Schizosaccharomyces pombe: one gene and its partners. The gene in region 1 interacts genetically with each later gene. Each region holds a gene or a part of one and is shown in the gene's direction. Other genes may lie near its edges.

Region 1 (8,524 bases):
GATTTATTATCAATATTAATTATTTGTTTGTTACGTTTGTTTTTTAACGACTCTTTTCTTTTTTACGACTCTCGACAAGTTTTCGATTTCTCTTTCCCCCAAGTGATCTCTCTTGTCTCTACGTTTCAATTGTTTTAACGAACTTGTTATTTATTTATTTATTTAACTCTTTATCACGTTTTTAACGCTTTTACGTTTAAAAATCCCCTTCTTATTTATCAACAACACTTTTGATTCTCTTACATTCTTCTATTCTTCATCATCATGGTTGGAACTATTAACGAATCAATGCAAAACATGAAAATCGGCGCTAAGGAAACCGCCCAATCTGCTAAACAGGGCATAAAGAATGCCGGTCAATCTAGCAGCAAAACCGCTAGAGATGTTATGGGCAATCCCGTTCCCGGTAGCTACACCGCCGGCAACACCGCTAATGACGGCGACAGTAGCTATGCCTCTAGCAAAAACCTTCTGGCAATGCCGACATTGGCGCTACCTCTTCAGAGCGTACTGCCTACGCCGCTCCTCAACGTGCCGCCGTCGACACTTCCAACGTCTCTCCTCCCAGCACTCAAACCGGTGGCTACGCCTCTAAAGACACTACTTCCACTTACGAGGGCGCTCAACCCCTTTCCTCCCAATCTAGCCGTTCCTCCAACTATACCAACGTCAAGATCACCGCTACCCAAAACAACGTGGATGCCTTGACCGGTGCTCCCATCCGTATCGTCACCACCACCAATGCCCGCATCCAACCCGACGAAAAGACCCTCCAAGACTTGCTCGAACAAAGACAGGTCGCTCTTCGTGAGGCCCGTGAAGCTGAGGAGGAGCTTCAACGTGCCCGCCAATACAACGACCGCTCCACCTCGGAGGCCCTCGAGCTTGAGGCCCGTGCCAAGAAGGCTGCTCAAGACGCCGAACTCGCTTCTGAGCGTGCTCGCGAAGCCCAGTCCTCCATTGAGCGTAGCGCCTCTCTTCGCGAAAAGCAAGCTCGTGAGGAGGCCGAACGTGCGGCTACCGCCTTGCGCGAGGCCGAGTTGAAGCACCGTTTGGCTCAAGCCAATGCCGATGTCGATGTTGCCAACTCCAAGCTCGACATTGCTTTGAAGAACGAGGCGGCTTGGAAGGCTGAGAGAGAGAGCTCTCTTGCCCATCAAAAGGCCGTCATCGACAGTGCCCGTGCGGAATTGGAGCGTGCCAGACATGAAGCCGCTGTTGCCGATGCCACCTACAAGAAGGAGCACTACGAGTATAATGCCCTTGTCGCCGAGTTGGAGGAGCGCAACGACAACACCTTGCGTACCGCATCGATTCGCGAGGCCGAGGCTAGAAACCTTGAGGTGCACATGGAAGACACCTTGAAGGATGCTAGGATGAGAAGCCGCAATGCCACTGAGCAGGTCGAAGTGGTGAAGCGCGAGATTAACTCGGAAATCGACGTTTACAGAAGCAGCGTCGAAAAGACCAAGGCCGAGCTTGCTAGCTATCAAAAGGGTCTTCCCTCTCAAAAGGAGGCTTGCGATCGCGAATTGGACGATGCCACTCGCGCACTCCAGGCCGCTTCAAGATCGCTTCAACGCCGCCAAGTTGAGAGTGAACCAGTTTGACGTTGATTCTCGTCAACAGCTCGCCATGCTCACCAAGAAGGTCCGTGACGCTGAGGATGCCGAAGAGAAGTATCGCATCAGCTGTCATCAACGTGAAGAGGAAATCACTCGTTGTGCCACTCAAGCCTATGATGCCGTCAAGGCCGCTGAGAAGCGCAATGAAACCATTGCCGAGGCTGCTAGAGCTAAGGAAAATGAGGCCAAGGACTTGTATAGCAAGGCCGAAAGCATCACTCAAGACCTTAACGCTAAACGCTCTCATCCTCCTCAACCCGCCAACCTCGACTATAGCTCTGCCATTCAACGGGCACAGGAGCGTTTGACTCTCGAGGAAAGCAAATTGACTGACTTGCGCACTGCCGAGCCATCCCAGTATGTCAACGACGTAGAGGTTGCACGCAGAGCCCTACGCGATGCTCAAGCTGAACAAAGCAAGGTGGAGAGCGAGTACAACAGTGTTAAGGGTAGCAAATTGTATACCACCGAACCCGTTCATCCACACGCCGTTACCACTAATGAACCTACTGATGTTAGTACTAAGAGCAAGTCCGCCGCCTATCACTATCCTGCCACCACTGAGACTGTTTCAAGCAAAGCAGCCCGCTCTGCCACCACTCCTGCTTATGTTGGCGGTGCCACTAAAACTCCTAGTACGACAAAGGCTGTTGAATCTACTCCCAGCACCTTGCCTACTTCAGCTTCCACAAATGCTGCTGCTACTACTACCACTAAAAAGCCCAAGGCTGCCAAATCTACTGCTGTACGTGATGATGTTTCTTCTGCTTCTTCGGATAGCGACAAGGGTACCACCGGTTTGGGCAAATCTGAAAGCAAAAGTTCCCGCAAGGAACGTAGAAGCAGCACCAGCAGCGGTCATGGCTTGATGAACAATGTTCGTCATGCCTTGGGTATGTCCAACAAGTAAAGGGAATACTTGCAATATCAAAATTTTTGGACGTAACCTTCATTATCTCGTGAATCCGTTATGAAAAAAGGTTTTTATTGTATGGTTCTTATTTGAAAAAAAGGGACGACAACTTTTTGAGGGGAAAGTTGTCATCCTTTAAAGGTTGGTTCTTTATGATGGAAAGTACTGCGAATTGTTCGTAATTTATTAATGAGATTCTTTGTTTATACGAGTAAAGAAATTGAATGCGATGGATATAGAAAATGTAATGTAGCTTTAGTTTTAAGTAGTTTGATTGTCTGTGGTGGGTTGTATATGCTTGCTTTGGCCTTGCTAGATAATCAAAACAAGAAACAATATAAAATGTACAATAGAACTAACAGGTAAAAATAAATGTACAAAAAATAAATGATTTGAATTTTCTCGTACGAACATGTAAACAATTGAAAAAGACAAACAATCGAGACTTAGAAATACAATTGAAAATAAATAGACAGAGCAAGACAAACAGAGGTTATTCTTAATAAAATAGAGCAAATCTAGCACAATCCCCAATCCACCACGTCAAACAAGCTGTATGCTCACTTCAAATAGAAAGCTTTGAAAATCTTATGCGGTGAATCTTGTTCACTCGGTCGATGTGACCGGTGAGACAGAAGACTTTTTGTTCATGGCCTCACGCATGGATTCTTCAAGTTGATCTAAACGAGTTGACATCGTTTCCACTGTTAACATAAAAAGTTATGATTAGTAAAGCAAAATCTTTCATTATAAATTAGAGAATCGTACATTTCTCAGAGAATTGCTTTTGTAGGGTCTCAAAGTCGCCAGACTATAAAAATCTGTTAGAATGATTAACTAAGCACAATTCTTCTTCTTACAATATCCTCCAATAACTTATCAGTCTAAAAGTAAACAAGGTTAGATCATTAAAAAAAAAGAAAGACTAATCTTAAACGCACCAAAGTCGTGATCGCAGATGTGGATTGAGGATTTTTAGAATTCCCTCTAACAGACGCAGACATTGTAACCGAAAACCTTTTTTTTAATATGTATAGATGCTTCCTTCAGGTAATAAGAACTCACTTGTGAATACAATAGTTGGTATTTGGAAGAGAAATGGAAGAAGTAGGTAAAATAGTTGATGGAACTCAGCTAGGAACCTCTGCGTAATGTTATTTACCTACACATAATTATTTTTATTATTTTACCAAGTGTATTTATTGTCTTATCGAGTACATGTGGAAAAGTCGTAGAAGGAGAATTCAGGCCCTTGGAGTGGCCTTTTTTTTATAACTTAATGATGATTTTATTTTTAATTAAACGAATTAAAAAAATTACTCATAATATCCTTGTATGGATGACTTTGAGCCGCATGTTTGAACCCTATATATATGGCGTTCCACGATGGCTCTGAAAGGTAAGTTTGTTCATCTTTAACCGTTTTCTACTAAGCGTTTTTTATTCCTAGTCACTAAAAAGTAGATGTCTCAAAGATGGTACAACACTATGGCTTTTTATAATCATTTACTGATACAGTCAATATCTTTATCTTAGACTGTTGCAATTTGGGCCTAGTACCAACTGGTCTTACCCATCCACTCCACCAAACGCATGGGTGAGTGAGTTTTTAAAAAAGCCATTATAGAATTGTTGAAAGTATATCTAAATGAATGAAAAATGACTCAAAATCATAACATCCCGACTGCTATTCAGATTCAAAACCCTATAAATAATAATGTCTCTGTAACTATTAGTGATCAGTTACCAAAACCGAGTGCGAATAATCCCAACTTGTTAAGCGTGGATACTCGCCCTACCCACAGAAAAGGCCATCATCACAAACATTCGCTTTCGCATCAATATTTCTTACCACCCAAGAATCGACAGCCGTTAGAGATACCTGCCAGTTATCCCATTCCTACTTTTAAAGAAACATTCGCAATCCTTACTTTTCCTCAAAAACTAAAATTGACAAGCTCAATCCTATTCTTTTTGGTCGCCGTAGGGGTATTACTCTCGGGGGATGCTACTATCCTACTCACTTTATCTTGCTCTTTAATCGTAGAAGGTGTTTTAATCATTATCAACGTTTGGCGTGAAACATTGGATTCGTTCCTCGTCTGGCGACACACGTGTTTACGTTACCCATTTGGAATGCAACAAATGGAATTACTTGTTGATTTTTCCTTCTCAATCCTCTTAATCTTCCTCGGCATGAACCTCCTAAAAGAGCCTGCCGAACATGCTATAGAAGATTGGGGTAATCTCCATCATGCTGGCGATCATGAAGAAGAGACTGTACACATTCATTTAACCATTTCATTGTTTGCTTCGGCTATAATATCGGGATTTGCATTATTGTTGGATCACCCTAGTGCTCACATACGAGAACTCAATTCTCGCTTTTTCCATGGACTCACATTAGTACCTTCACTCATCCTCGTGTTGCTGTTAAGTCTTGGTTATCAAGTTGGTTCATTTCTCAGCCATTTGCTTTCCTTAACTATTGCTGTTACTGCCCTGGTGAATGGGTTCTCCATTGCCAAATCGCTTGCCTTAATGCTCTTGTTGACATACTCTAATAAAGAAAAGGTCTTTGAATGCGTCTCCCTTATAAAAGAGGATACACGAATTGACCAACTTAATTATGCTGCCATTTGGCAACCTCATTATAATACTTGTATTGCTAATATTGGCTTAACCGTTTCAGGAGGTGAACGAGAGCAGGCAGCAGTTCGTGAAGATATTATAAGGATTATACAAAAAACAGTAGGAAGCATATTTGGTGCTGGTGTTCAACCCAAATGGGAAATATCAGTAGATATCCAGAGAGCCTAATCGTTTTTTCCTATCTTACAACCAACCGTGTTTGTAACTCACTCGTTATATTTTTATTATCATTTAATGCATGCATATTTTATCAACATATGACATTATCCACCTTTGCGGAACTTTCGCTGTCTCGAACAGTTTGGATTCATAATCTAATAAATGCCATCCATATTTACTATAGAATTACCAACACCTTTTTCATTCTTTCCTTTAATTTATACCGCTTATTACAAATTATAAGGAGAATACAAACTCAAGATTTTAATATGAAATGAATAATTTTATTATTATAAATAAGGCATGTGTGGTCGTTGCATACTAAAAGGATCAAGTCTAACTAATAATAGAATGCGTATATAGAAGGTATTTTCATATGTAAAAAAAAAAAAGAAAAACGTAAGCATATATATGACCCTCAATTAACATACAGATTCCAAAGGACAAGTAATGCAATTTACTACTTTAAACGTAGCTCTTACCAAGCTTGGAAAGAAAGCGCAAAAAACAAGTTATCGTTTATGAGTTATCATTCCACTGGGATAGAACATTCCAGTCGTCAGCAAGTCCAATGTGCTTAGACGAAAGTTCGTCAGAAGCACCAAAGTCATCGTTAGAGCCGAAGCTAACAATGTCTTCCTCATCTTCTTCATCCATATCACACCAACTGCGGCCAAATTTAAGATGATCCTTGTTTCCTTTAATACTGTTAGGAAATACGATAGCTGGTGCACTGCAAGAATAGGGAGAACGTTTCGTATTAACGGGTACTGCTGTTGCAATGGATTTTCCAATATGCATATTATTGAGACTTTCACCAAGTCCAGAATCATAGGAACGTTCGCTATTGTTGACTGGAGCCAAAGATGCAGGGCTCCGAGGAGACGACGAGGTTGAAATGTTCTCATCAACGTCAGACAAAGCTGGCAACTTTGAAGGAAGAAGACCACGCTGTATGGTGTTAGCGGGTGTCAAAACAGATGGAGTACGTAACGGTTCGCGATCTGATTGAGTACAACGAACGTTGTCCTCAGCAGGCATGAAATCGGATGCGCGAAATTCTTCTTCTTCATTAACGAAGCTTTCCAATTCCTCATCATCTGTCGTCCACTTGGTAACCGCGAGTACGGCTTCCCTCGTTTTGGCGAGAGAACGTTTCTCTGGACTCACACAAAGGCATGCTCGCAAGACGTTATATGTATCTTGACTCAACGTAGGGAAAACGTCAAATAAGGTCATTGCGTCCAACATGTAATCAGCAAATATAGGATCCTTTTCGTGTGGATAGGTAAAAGGATTACGTGCAAAAATTAAGTTTAAAAGGCAAATACCAAGAGCCCATATATCCGCTGCACGAGGGCTGTAACCAGCACCATCAACTTCCTCAAACTGTTCAGGAGCCATGTAACGGTCACTGCCAGTTCCAAAGTCATAAGATATTTTGTCCCTGCAAGCAAGTCCAAAATCACTGATCTTGACCACAAGCTCAGATCCATCTTCTGAAAGAGAAAGAAGAAAGTTTTCTGGCTTTAAGTCACGATGGTAGATACCATGAGAATGCAAATGTGCAACACCATCAATGATTTGAAGAAAAATATTCTTAATCATTTCAGGTTGGTTCTTTGCATTTGGAAAATCATTATTCAAGATGCACTCGTATAAATCACCAAGAGGGCAATATTCGAGCACGACATAATAGTATACATTGTCTTCAAAAGATTCAACGAAATGAATGATGTTGCGGTGTCGAGACCGCGATAGCTGGCGCAAGATATTGACTTCTTGCAAAAAGGTATAAGCAGGTTTTTTGATGCACTTAATGGCATACTTCAAATCCTTGCAACGGGGAGTCCGAAAAAGACGATGGGCTAATACTACAGTGCCATACGATCCCTTATTCAGAGGGCGCTCAACTTTATAACCTTTCTTTTGAAGCAGCTTCATAATCACACACACTTTCGATTCCGAACTTTTCTTCTTTAATCAAAGTTTGAGAGGTCGAGCAGATGATAACTTAATGTCGGTCGAATGATACCTAAAATTCACAGTTTTCTTAAATTCTCCTTTAATAGACTCAAACAGGTCGTTCTTTGAAAGTTGAACAAATAATATAGATATGAATATAAATACAGAAATATATATATACTCTATTTGTTCTTCACAGTACACACCTGGGGAAGAAGAGGAAAGATAGTAAGAAAACAAAAACAAATTCCAGTAAACACTCAATCTCTAGAAAGCCAACACCTGTACAAGAAACAGGTTTCAAAAAGAGATTGGCGGAATACTTCGGCAACGAAATAACCTAGTAGAGGGAAGAAAAGTCGGCCTGGCTGTTCGAAGAGGATGGCGGGTATGAAAACAGTGGTTTCGCGTTGAATACTTTGGGAGAATTAGAATTTCGTAGCAATTCACTTAGATCGTGTGTGTATTAATATTTTGTTAAGCAAATTTTCTCATGTTGAACCCAGAAATGTAGCAGAAAACAGAACCTTGGTTGGTTGTTGTTGGTAGAGGGTAAAGTTATCCGCCCCCCCTGAGGAGTTCTTTTTAGTGCTGATGTTCCTTTGATTGCGATAGAGAATTTAACGAAATTTAGTGGAATATAGCACAATTATGTCGAGATAGTAGATGAGTTGGTAAGGAAGATTCGTGATCAATTTATCCCGTTCTGACTTCTTCTTCCTTATTCTATGATAACGTGACTGTGTAGTGCATTATTTCTCCTTAAACTTGTGCGTGATAAATAAATAAATATAAAATAGAACAAGTCGTATATACTAATTTATAGACACATATGCTATCGTCTACAATCTATTTTCATTTTTACTAATTGTTTTAATTATTTTTTCTCATCTTATTGAATTCTTTTCTCGTTTCTATCTTCGTTTCACCGATCGTTTTAGATGCACAAGTAACCACTGTTAACTAGAATAGCAAAGTAGATAGATGAACGATGGAAAATGTTCGATAATGAGAAAGATATAAGCCTCGAATATGAACTAATTATTTCGTACATTTTAATGAAATGATCTTAAAATTGCCTAACAATTTGCTTTTTGTTTGATCATTATGTTGCTTGGTTTAAGGAAGCTGCCATAGCAATTAAATATCAAGAGATATATAGGCCCTTGAATAGAAGTACGAGATTGGAAGGGATCATAGAAGCTTCCTT
Region 2 (5,623 bases), on another chromosome or scaffold:
TTCTTCATCACCAGCAGGTGCTGAACAAATCGTTATGAATGGGTTTTTTTACTCAATTATGGAAAGTCCATTAAGTACGGCTTTAAGCACTGGTGGGTTAGGACTCGATGGTTCATCGATTCAATACAAAATCTGGATTCGTGGAATATTGCCCCTTTTATTTAATATTGTTAAATTTTTAGGCAACAGGATCATGAACGATATGAGGGAATTTGTTTTATTAGCATTTCCTCAAATTCAGTACGCTTTATTAAATTGGTGTCAACCTCCTTCCTCAATTTCGTTAGCCTCCATCGATGAATCTTTTATGATAGTGCTACTGTTCGATCTTTTGCAACAATTTAATCCCGCATTACTACAAGAAATTAGACTTGCTGAATTGAAGATTGAGATGCTGGAGGCATCGACTATTTGATTTCACATCCAAATTTTTTATCAAGTTTGGCTATACCCGCTAGTCTGTATGAGCAGGAATACGCTATTGACGTGATTGGTATACCAAAAGAATTAGAATCGGATCAGCTTACGAAAGAAACTAAAACATCACAGTTTGCTAAGCTAATTCGTATCCAGTTAGATAAGTTAAGAGCTTTGCTTGAGCATTGAATGTAGTTTTGATAATATTTGCTGAAGTCATTCTTTAAAAAGATATTTACTGCATTTTCACAATGCAGCAAAATTTCTACGTTATGCGTTTGTAAACATAATTTGCATCCTATGATATCCTGTTTGAAACCATTTTAATATTTTAATCAAAAAGTACTGTAAATATTCCAAATAATTGTTGATAACCTGTTGTATTTGCATACTTAAGGTAGTGCTGTAAATGTTGTATTTTCCCACAAATTAAACAATAATTAGTAAAAAAAAAGAAGATTAGTAAAGACGGAAGTAAATAAAGGTGATTTGTAGAATGAGTGCCAATTTTGAAATTTCTTAGTAAGCTATTCGTACACTTTCCAGACAACAGGTTTCAGCCTTCACAAGCGTGGTTAATGACAGATCACCATTAACCCACATCTTCTTTTTAACATCCATATTAGTACTTTTTTATCCTAATAATTTACTATAAATGGATAAAAAAGAGGGCGATCAAGTGCATCATGACAAAACATTGCTCCAGGATTTAAGTCTTCCTGAAAATGTTGCTTCTGAAAAACGTCTGCCAATTGACGATGTACAATGTGTAAATTCGCCTATGTTAAGTCCTGCGCTTGATATTGAGCCTAAACCCAACGTTGTCGGTACTGCTGAAAGGCTTCCAAAGGTTCGATGCGTTGTTAGAGCAAGAATTCCTACAGTTAAGGGGACGGAGATTTTCCTCCATTTATACAAAAACGATTTTGATAATAAAGAGCATTTAGCAATTGTTTTTGGTCAACAAATTCGCTCAGATAGTCTTGATGCTGTGCAAGAAGGCGAAACAGAAATGGACCGTATGGTACGAGGCGCATACGTGGGGACACTTTATCCTGGCCGTAAAAGCTCTTATATTGATGTTAACTCTTCAAAAACTACCGAAGAGCAGAAAGAAGAAGCACGGAAGACTAATTTTGTACCGCTGGTTCGAATTCATTCCGAGTGCTATACCGGTGAAACTGCTTGGTCGGCTCGTTGTGATTGTGGTGAACAACTTGATGAAGCAGCCCGTTTAATTAGTGAAGAAGGGAATGGTGTCATAATATATCTTCGTCAAGAAGGTCGCGGAATTGGTTTGTCCGAGAAACTCAAGGCTTATAATCTTCAGGATTTAGGAAACGACACCGTCCAAGCCAATTTACTGCTTCAACATCCAGCAGATGGAAGATCGTATGCAGTTGCTACTGCTATGTTGATGGATCTTGGTCAGCGTGATATCAGACTTTTGACGAATAATCCTGAAAAGGTTAATAGCATTGAAGGCCCAAATAAAGAAGTTCGTGTAGTAGAACGGATTTCAATGATACCCAAGTCATGGAGAGGTGAAAAGGGAATTGAAAGTGCTGAAGTAGTCCTTTATCTCAAAACTAAAATTGAGAAAATGGGACATTTACTTGACTTACCAGATTCATAATGGTGCGATTCAAGCATTTTCACACTTTTCGCCAATTATGGTTTTAACTGCTTCCTCTTTATAAATGGCTACTCTTCGTGTTTACGTGCAGTTTTTTGGAGTTTGAAGAGTTAAATCTTTTTTAATGAATACCAAAAACTCCTTGGTCTTTGAAAACTAAATTATTAAAGCTGCTGTACTCATTCTTGTGAGGGTTAACATCGTTGACCCTTTTAATAGACATGAATTTGAACCATGCTTTTAATGTCTACTATTTCCAGTCTTAGCTCTTGTGGTAACACTCTCAACCTTTTTGTATTTTTTTTTTTGCAAATTAGTGCTTAAGTAATATGTCTTAAGCTGGTTTCTCAGTTTCTTTTTAAGAATGAATTTTCAATGCTCTTAAAGCTAGATTGTTTATTACATTTGTTGAGCTTTTCCTTCTATTGACGAACAACTCAAATAAAAAGTTCTTTGATTTTTTTCAACTGCCTCAGTATATATGTTTAGTATTTAAATTAGCTCACTTCATTACCGCGTATTTCATGCATCCAAAGAAATAAAGCAAACCACCACAAATTACAGATAAAAATGGAAGTTTACTTATCTGAGTTTATCAATTGGAAATTGTATGAATTCAAAAAAATTAACGAGTTAGGGACAAGTACATTTAGATACTATTTTAAGGGAAAGATAGTTAATTTAAAAAATAAGCGTGTCTCATCCAACGAGGTTTGTTATATGTTTAAACTTATGGATGATACTGGAATTGTTGAATTGAACTATAGTTTATCCAAGTATTCGCCAAAATTTGAAATGCTGAGACAGTTACAACTCGGCATTTCAGTTTTCGTCTATAGCGACGTAGTCTGTCGTGTTTCTGGGATAAGAGCTTGGAAACTACAGATTCATTCCAAAAATTTGGAAAGCAAGATTGAAGCTACAATTTCTGAACCAGAGCAAATACCATGTCCTGGGTTTGGTAGCGACAATATTGTTCCGCTGTCACTAGTGAATGACTTTAAAGATGGGGCGTTCGTCAATGTATTAGTTGCAATACAGTGGAAAGAAGAATTCGAGATATTTAATAATGAAACAAAAAAATCTCTACCTAAACAAACGATACACGTACACGATATTTCTGGATCAGCCATGATCGTGTTGATAGGAGAGTCCCAAGTTAAATCCGCTCTCAGTTGGAACAATGAAACAAGTATGTAAAGATTTCTATTCAGGTATGTACCTACTCACCAAAATTTTTAGTTTTGTTGATTCATAATGCAATTGCCTACCGAACCAATACCGGAATGCTGGAATTGTCAATTAAAGATGCAATAATTCAAACACTTCAGTCATTTGATGGTAAAGTTTTGAAACTATTAAATTTTTCAATCAAAAGAAAAGAACTTATTAAGATAAATGCTTATAGATTGAGCACCCTAGAGGCTCTTGAAAAAATAGCCAGCCAATCTGGAGAAGCTTTTGGGCAGGTTGGCGTTTTAATAATGCAAAGTAAAATTAAAGATTTAACAAAAGAAGGGGGATTAGTTTATGGCAATGATTTGACAGGTTTGAGATTTGCAGATTTAATAAGCATAATTGTCGATGAAACTGGAAGTGTTAAAAACCCAAAATTTAGTCAAAAGCTTTTGGAAGAAATTACAAATATAGCTCCTACGGAGTTAAGTGTATTGAATGAAGAACAAGCAATGCATCTAGAAAACGTCTTCCTGTATAGACACTATCGAGTTTGTGTTGGTTTTCTGAACAAACAAATTTACGTGTTTTCAAGTGATGAACCCTTAAAATCATACATTTAATTATTAAATTAAATACTCTTAAGTTATTAACATTAACATTAAATCAGCATATTGATTCTGTAAAACCAGACTTGATTTGATATGCAGCAGACACTAATAAACTGAATTAAAAAAAAAAACGAACATATAAGGCTATGATATTAAATGAAGTGTCAACTTTATGCTGTAATTTTTCTTGGATAACTCAATTAATTTTTGTATTACATTTAAATCGTGGGTAAATAACAGAAATTAATCAATTTAAGTCTAAAAAATATTTATTAGTATTTGACAGTTCTTACGATAATTTTCTAAAGACAGTTTAAATTTGTGACATTTTCGGATCTCTAACGCATATTATCATTCCAAATCCCATCTTCATTTACATAACTCTAAAATGTCAGAAAAACCTGACCTTAGGCAAAGATGTTCTGATATATATCGTGAAATAAAGGAAAAGAAATTAACTGTGGTAAAGCAAGGTGCAGAAGCAATCACGATAAAAACCGAGTTTTATCCAGGTGAGGTTTGTCTTTTGAAGTGCCGACCTGCGAAACGATGGAGACATCCTATTTTAGATCAGAAATTATCAAGAAAACGCTGCTTAGTGGAAGCAAGACTTTTAGCAAAATGTCATTACGTTGGAATAAAATGTCCCATGCTGTACTTTATAGATGCCAATCGTGGTCAAATATATATGGAATGGATTGATGGACCTTGTGTACGAGATTATATTCGAGAGATCTGCGAATGTGAGATTGAAAAAAAACTTATTCCTTTAATGAAGCGAATAGGATCAGAAGTTGCGAAGATGCATAAGAATGATATCGTTCATGGAGATTTGACAACTAGTAATATGATGCTGGAGTCTCACAACAATCCGGTCCCAATTTTTATTGATTTCGGTTTAGGAAGCGTTTCCGAATCTGAGGAAGATAAAGCTGTGGATATTTACGTCCTAGAGAGAGCTTTATCAAGTACTTTACCAGAAAGCGAATCTTTGGTATGTTAACTATTAGACTTAAAGCACTTAAATTCTAACTGTTTGAAGTTTCATCATGTTTTAGACTCTTATGCCCAAAGTTGGAAACAATCTAAGGCAACACTTCGAAGATTTGAAGAAGTACGAATGCGTGGCCGTAAACGTACCATGATAGGATGATGTTCTAAATACTAGTCTCTAGAAAATTTTTTATAAAAAATCTTTCATTTATTGTTTAGTCTTTATGGTATCCTTCATATGGTTTAATTAGTCTATGGACCTTTTGCCGATGCCCTATGTATTTAGTTGCTTTAGAGTTGGCACACGCACTACCTAACTACCGCTATCAACACCAAGCAATAGTGAGCGTTAAGTCAATCTTGGCAGTCAACGTTAGATAACTGTTTTGTTTCTGATTATTTATTACCTTTTTTTTGTAACCTTTATGAGCTTTCGTCCATAGCGGTTACGAATTGAAACATCGTTTACCTTATAGTGTCAATCCCCTTTAAAGCAGCGTATAAGCATTTAATAAGCTTTTATAAGATGTCTATAAAGTTCTTTCTACTCGTAAGCCGCCAGGGAAAGGTGCGTTTAGCTAAATGGTTCAATACTTTGTCAATCAAGGAGAGAGCCAAAATAATCCGTGATGTTTCTTCACTGGTGATTACACGAAAACCAAAAATGTGCAATTTTGTTGAATATAAAGGTAAAAAAATTGGTATTTTTATTCAAAATATGAATTAACTGTATTTGTCTTAGGCGAAAAAATTGTTTACCGACGATATGCTTCCTTGTTTTTTGTTTGTG
Region 3 (5,988 bases), on another chromosome or scaffold:
AGAGTAGATCACATATAGCTAAAGGAGCTCGTATGAAACTAAGATACAAATACATTTGTTTACGAACGTTTGACAAATATATAAATTGACCCACAGACCTTAAAATTGTCAACAACAGTTGTCTCAAAAAAAAGCCGGGTCGAAAGTACATTATTTACTAAATGATAGTGTTTTTAACTTCAAAAACAGTACAAAGAATGCTATAGAAAACAAAATGCATTTTCGATGAATTGAATTATTCATTTTCTGTAAACAACAAAAAGTTGGTTGAGAATTATGGAATTCGTTATTTTTATTTACCGTATTTCAATAGTTCGTAAATATGCATGACCGCATCGGTAAGCATAGGCAGGCTTAGTAACTTGCATTTCTCTTTGTCTTTAAGCAAACATCGACTAAAATACATATTGCTTGAAAAATTTAATATTGGTTGCATACACTTAATTCACAATGGATAAAACAAAAATGTTTAGTGCCATTAATTTGGGCGTAGGTGGTATCTTCGTTTTAAGCGGATTTATCAAGTTATTTTCATTTAGCTTCGTAAACGCTTTACTTGCATTGTTCATCATCGTTTTCGGTTTGGGAACTATTGGTTTAGAAAAGGAAATTCCTCCTATTGCTATTAAATATGGATCGTTCATGTTCTCATTCTTAGGAAGGGGCTTCTTCTACGCTTTCATGGGTACTTTACTCTTTTCTTACTCCGGGTTTACTTCTTTCCTAGGCTTTTTAGTTCTTCTTGCAGGTATCGCCTACTGTGGTGCAAACTACGTAGCAGGATTGCAAGACTACGCTCCCAGAAGCATGCGTGATAATGATTGGGATGATAACGTTGATGAAGTGTAGACTTTTTTTTATTTCTAACTATATTATTTGATTCGGTTCTTGTTCCTACCCCCCTCTTTTCCCGATGTCCTCCTACATATGATTTATTCTGGATACATTCGTTTTCTTCAGGGTAGGTGTTCTAAAAGACAGTCACTTTAGCAGTCATCCTCAGAGTAGTTAATGAGTATAAATATGTATACGATCTCTTAACTATGTATAATTTTTGTATATCAACATTAGCGTAGTAGCTATGGTATTTGTGATGGGTTTTAGGGTTATACATTCAAATACCTTTAATTGTCCAGCTTGGATTCTGAACTGTCGGGTGTATCGAGGAGGATAAAAATGACATGTCAAGCTCAACAATATGAAAAATTATGATTTTTTTCTATTTCTTCACTTTCTGAGATGTATCTTGCAGTTCAAAATGTTAGTTGGCTTTACTAAAATTCTATTTTATTTCATTACTCTAATCAATTATCTTTTTGCTTTATGACCATTACCGCTTATACTCTATAGATGTTTTATATTTTTTATATCTAAATAAATATCTTAATTTTTTTGAGCTGTTGGGAATAATGAATATTCTTTCTGAGTTTCTTACTTACAGGTCTTATAGACGTGTTTCCATTGTCCATACTATAAAATTGTTGACCTCTATAGTCACCGTTGCTTTTGTCACTACATTGCAAGAGCTGACGAGTCCTCCAAATTGACAAATGCGATCCTCAATATTCCACTCAAGGCCGCTGGTTTTTTTAACATACACACTCTGTCCTACTGGCAGAAGACCGCAATGTAAACCAATGTTGTCGTGACAATCAACATGATTTATTCCGGGTTGAAGCAAAGTTGATACATTCAATTCAGTTAATAGAAATACTTCATTCTTTTCAGAAATCGAGGCGGCCCAGAATAGATGGTTTAAATTACCAATGGCATGATCAACTCTTCCACCCATGCCACATAATACAAAAATAGTATCAATCCCATGTTCTTTAATTATTTTATGGCATTTCATAAAGTCAGTGGTGTTTTGGCATGGGTCGAATACAATGTTGACTCCCATTTCTTTATAATAAGCTTTAGTTTCATCTGTTAACGAATCAAAGTCACCAACGACATAATCCGGTTTGAGCGAAGAATCGTAATTTCTCAATTGGTTAGCACCACCGTCTGCGCAGACTCGGATACTAGCTCTTTTCCATAAAGTACGAAATCTATCATCCGGTATATCTATGGGTTGATTTAATAGTAATACCGCAAACTTTTGATCAGTATCATAGTCACGTAACCAAGCCTTACATGGAGCTAGCTGATGAGTGGCTTTTTGGGGTTTTGCAGGAACACACGTTTCAGCTTTCTTTGAAGTATCTTCAAAAGAATCCCCTCTTTCATATTTTCCAACAGGAACAGGCAACGGTCTATGTATCCGTTCTAAAGTTTGGAGATACTGAGGATGCTGTGGAGTAATGATACCATGACGGATTAAAAAGTCTAAAAGAACCAGAGCACAATTTGGCTTAAAACTTTTTAATTCAAGTTCATGAAGTACTTGATTCAATGGTAATAAACTGAAACCAGCGACTTCTCCATCATTAATTCTTGGGATAACAAGATCATCAACAGGTAAATCGAATACATATTGTAACTCGGGCTGAATCCAATGCCTTTTCTCCATTTTGATGTAGGAGACAGTGCCACAAGGAATAAGATTCATAGAAGAAACGTCCAAATTAGCTTCTTCAGAAAATTCCTTTATCATAGTGCCTATGACTGAATCACCATGAGCAATTCCGCCGGCAACGCTATTATCTAAATAATTGGGCCACGTTTGTTTAGTCGGTGATCTTCGTGGTACCCAAATACGAAGAGGATGTTCTTTAGTTGCTGGAATATACATGGTACAATGCACACCAGTGCTCAAAAAACCGAATAACCAAAATCCGCCCCGTTCAACGGCCAATACAGGCTTTTTAGATTTTCCATAAACAGTATATAATTCATTCCTCCATTGATCAGCAATTCCAAATGTATTGTTATGGCGCCAATGCTCCAGTACCTTAGCTAAGATGTCAGTTCTTTTTTCAAAAGTAGATGCGTTTATTTCAATATACTCTCCTGGAACATAAACCCAATTGAATTTGAAATTATCCGCCTTTATGAGGATTTCTAGTACCAAAGGGGTAACATATCCAATGGCAGCGCCATTTGCACGGAAGGGAATTGTTCCAGGAACAAATTCCCCATTAAAAGAATCGCATTCATCTAAAAGCTCTTCGGCATTTAATTGTTTAGCAGAGGTGATAGACGACATTGCCATTACCTTGCCCAAATTTTCCTCTCAAATGGATAGTGTTCTAAAATAAAACAGGAATAAAAAAGGCTAGTGTATTTATGCGAAGGAGACACTTATGGTTCAATTCAACATAAATAGAATAATATATAAAACACCCTATACTAGCAAATGGTAAAAGCTCAAGGAAACTGGTTCCTGGTAGTAGAAATCGGGTAGTTGACTAAAACCTTATCGTATAACGAAATGCTAATCTATTAAACCCCTTTCAAAATGATCTTTAAAAACAAAAAAGAAGTTGATATTAAACAAACAGTACCTTAATCAAGGTAATCTAGTAATTGTCTTTCAAGAGTGTGGTCTACGAGGAAAATTACAATGGGAGCAGAACTCCGTGCCAGGAATGTCTTGGTATTAAAAATAATAGCACACAGATTGGCTTACTAATTTTCACTTTAACACCAACCGCCGTTTTTGTAATTAATTAGGGTTTGGTATAGTTAAGCGTATCTTTCACATGATTTTTATTTTCAGTGGACTTCCTTCGTAAGTTTTTTAATAATAATTCCTGAAGTGATTGATAATTTTTCCGCTAAACGTATCAAATCTGGTTGTATAATAGTTATCGACTACAGCTATAACTTGCTGCTCAAACAATTTCATGTAAAGAACATCTGCCTACAGAAAAGCTAGCATAGAAAGTTCCTTCTTTTTTACGTCTCATAAGACGTCAATGCTTGGGATTACTCCAACATATTTACATGTATAAAAGCATGGATAATGACACTAAAAAAAAAATCGAAGGGAATAGAAAGAAAAAAAAAATCTTATACTTTTCTCACGCTTTTCTGCATCTCCGTTATATTTAAAATAATCCAAGTCACCGAAATGTTAACATAGTAGTACATCTGGTTATATTGTTGAGATAGCAATATGCTATGTTCCCTTTGCCAATTTCAACTCTAGAACAGTACATTAACAAAACAACGAATCTGAACTTTTTTTATAAAAACAAATTGTCCTTGGTTTAGCTACTGGCAGATAATTAAATTCTATTGCGTTGTTTTAAAATGAGTGTTAACAATGAAGTATCCGCTGATCAACATAACCCTGAACTAGAGGATGATACATTTGAGCATGGACCTCCGGTTTCTCTGGGAGAAAAGAAATCACTTAATGAATATATGAAGATGGATGCCGAAGATGAATCATTGCAGAAATGGAAAGCATCTCTGGGTATCACGGGAACAGGTTATTCACCCTCGAATGATCGTAGAACAGTTGTTATTTTAAAGCTGAGTTTACTTGTTGACGGCCGTGACCCAGTTGATGTTAACATGGAAGATGCAGCAAGTGTCGAACAAATCCGCAAGAAAGGGTTCACTATTAAGGAAGGAAGCGAGTTTAAGATTGGTGTTAAATTTCGTGTACAACACGAAGTAATTTCAGGCTTAAGATATGTCCAAACTGTTCGCAGACGTGGCTTTGTTGTTGACAAAACATCTACCATGATTGGCTCCTATGGACCTTCTGAAACACCTTATGATTTTACCTCTGAACCAGATGAGGCACCTACAGGTATGCTGGCTCGCGGACATTATGAAGCCAATGGAAAGTTTGTTGATGATGATAAAGTGGTCCATCATGAATTTGTTTGGGCTTTTGACGTTGCAAAAAGCTGGAAGTAGTCATTATTTATGCCAGCCTTATTTTTTAAAATCGTAAATTTCAAATCTACTTGGTTATTCAAAATTCTCGGTATTCAGTACTATAAAGAAATTTATAGTGATGTTTTGTTACAAAGCAAACATTTTCCTTTTTCTTACCAATTTCTTTCACATATCGGTGTCTGGACTACAATTGAATATGGTAATGACGATTTCTTACCACCTTCTTCAGTGAAACTTTACTTCACCCAAATATCTCGGATTGTTTGGAGATTGCCTTTTGTTGTGCAAATTACTTTTATAGCTTACATATGATCTTCACATATTCCCCTTTAGCAATCTACGTTGTTTCTTTTAAATCTCGTTCCAAAGCTTACAAATGCGATATTTTGGAAGGATATATACATCCGACTATATTCTTTTCACTGAAATTATGAGTTTTGAGATTTTGATTAAATTTTTCCAAGTATCTTATACTTTTCCACTTTTCCTTGTTGTCACCAAAGAAGTACATAGAAAACAATACAAATAGCTATTAACTAGCCTGATTAGTCCCTTTGATGGGAATTACTAGAATACTATTGTAACGGTAATAACTCATTCTTAAACTCATTTCAACGTATCTCGCTCGACTTTGAGAAAATCCTACATAGTGCTTGAAACTTAACTTTTTATTTTAATACTTCACACTGATTAAAAGATTGATTAATGAATCCTAAACCCATAAAAAGTTATTGAGCGCAAAGCTACTGTCTTAATATAGTTTTACTGCAGTAGAATAGAGACATCGTTAACTTGGTTTCTTGGTATCACACTTTTTCTTTCACTAATTCTTTGCACATCATTTGCTAGACTCTCATCTTTCACCTACTTGGTTTGGTGTAATCCGTTCCTATTCCTAACGTATTATAGATTTCCACTAAGTAGTCTGGAAATCTCGTTGTTTTAACAGCCAGCTGTCGTTAAAAATCATCTTTTATTTTTTGATAAATATGAGGCGATCAGTTATTATTGGATCCTTGCTTGCTACTGCCGCTGTTGGTAAGTTTCTAAATTTTGAAAAAGCATTGTTATGATGATTAGATTTTTGAGATAAGCGGGCGTTTGTTTTCTCTTTTTGATCTTGAAAATAGAAGTACTGTATTTCAGTCGAGATTTTATTGATAGGGTTAAACATTGATCTTGTTCAATAAG

What was found.
Region 2: mutations in zrg17 (region 1) and bud32 together harm fitness more than expected from each alone (negative genetic interaction), as found in Schizosaccharomyces pombe (one large-scale study listed by BioGRID).
Region 3: mutations in zrg17 (region 1) and rdi1 together harm fitness more than expected from each alone (negative genetic interaction), as found in Schizosaccharomyces pombe (one large-scale study listed by BioGRID).

Annotation. Positions count from the first base shown.
Region 1 is NC_003423.3:1,941,996-1,950,519, reverse strand, and holds zrg17 (Golgi zinc importer, CDF family, Zrg17), read left to right. Parts: upstream 1-4,113; 5' UTR 4,114-4,197; coding exon 4,198-5,358; 3' UTR 5,359-5,583; downstream 5,584-8,524. Other genes in the region: SPOM_SPBC16E9.15 (uncharacterized protein), read right to left, coding at 3,145-3,242, 3,307-3,349, 3,399-3,422, 3,480-3,542; serine/threonine protein kinase Ksp1, read right to left, coding at 5,869-7,293. UniProt on the Schizosaccharomyces pombe protein: Probable transporter involved in the regulation of zinc homeostasis.
Region 2 is NC_003424.3:1,619,868-1,625,490, reverse strand, and holds bud32 (serine/threonine protein kinase), read left to right. Parts: upstream 1-4,198; 5' UTR 4,199-4,228; coding exon 4,229-4,834; exon of another isoform or gene 4,835-4,882; coding exon 4,883-4,993; 3' UTR 4,994-5,123; downstream 5,124-5,623. Other genes in the region: rib1 (GTP cyclohydrolase), read left to right, coding at 1,073-2,053; protein meu32, read left to right, coding at 2,624-3,245, 3,296-3,852; vas2 (AP-1 adaptor complex sigma subunit Aps1), read left to right, coding at 5,360-5,522, 5,576-5,623.
Region 3 is NC_003424.3:1,315,649-1,321,636, forward strand, and holds rdi1 (Rho GDP dissociation inhibitor Rdi1), read left to right. Parts: upstream 1-4,076; 5' UTR 4,077-4,197; coding exon 4,198-4,815; 3' UTR 4,816-5,488; downstream 5,489-5,988. Other genes in the region: tvp15 (COPI-coated vesicle-associated protein), read left to right, coding at 451-849; tnr3 (thiamine diphosphokinase Tnr3/ Nudix hydrolase fusion protein), read right to left, coding at 1,445-3,154; TOM complex subunit Tom20, read left to right, coding at 5,787-5,835.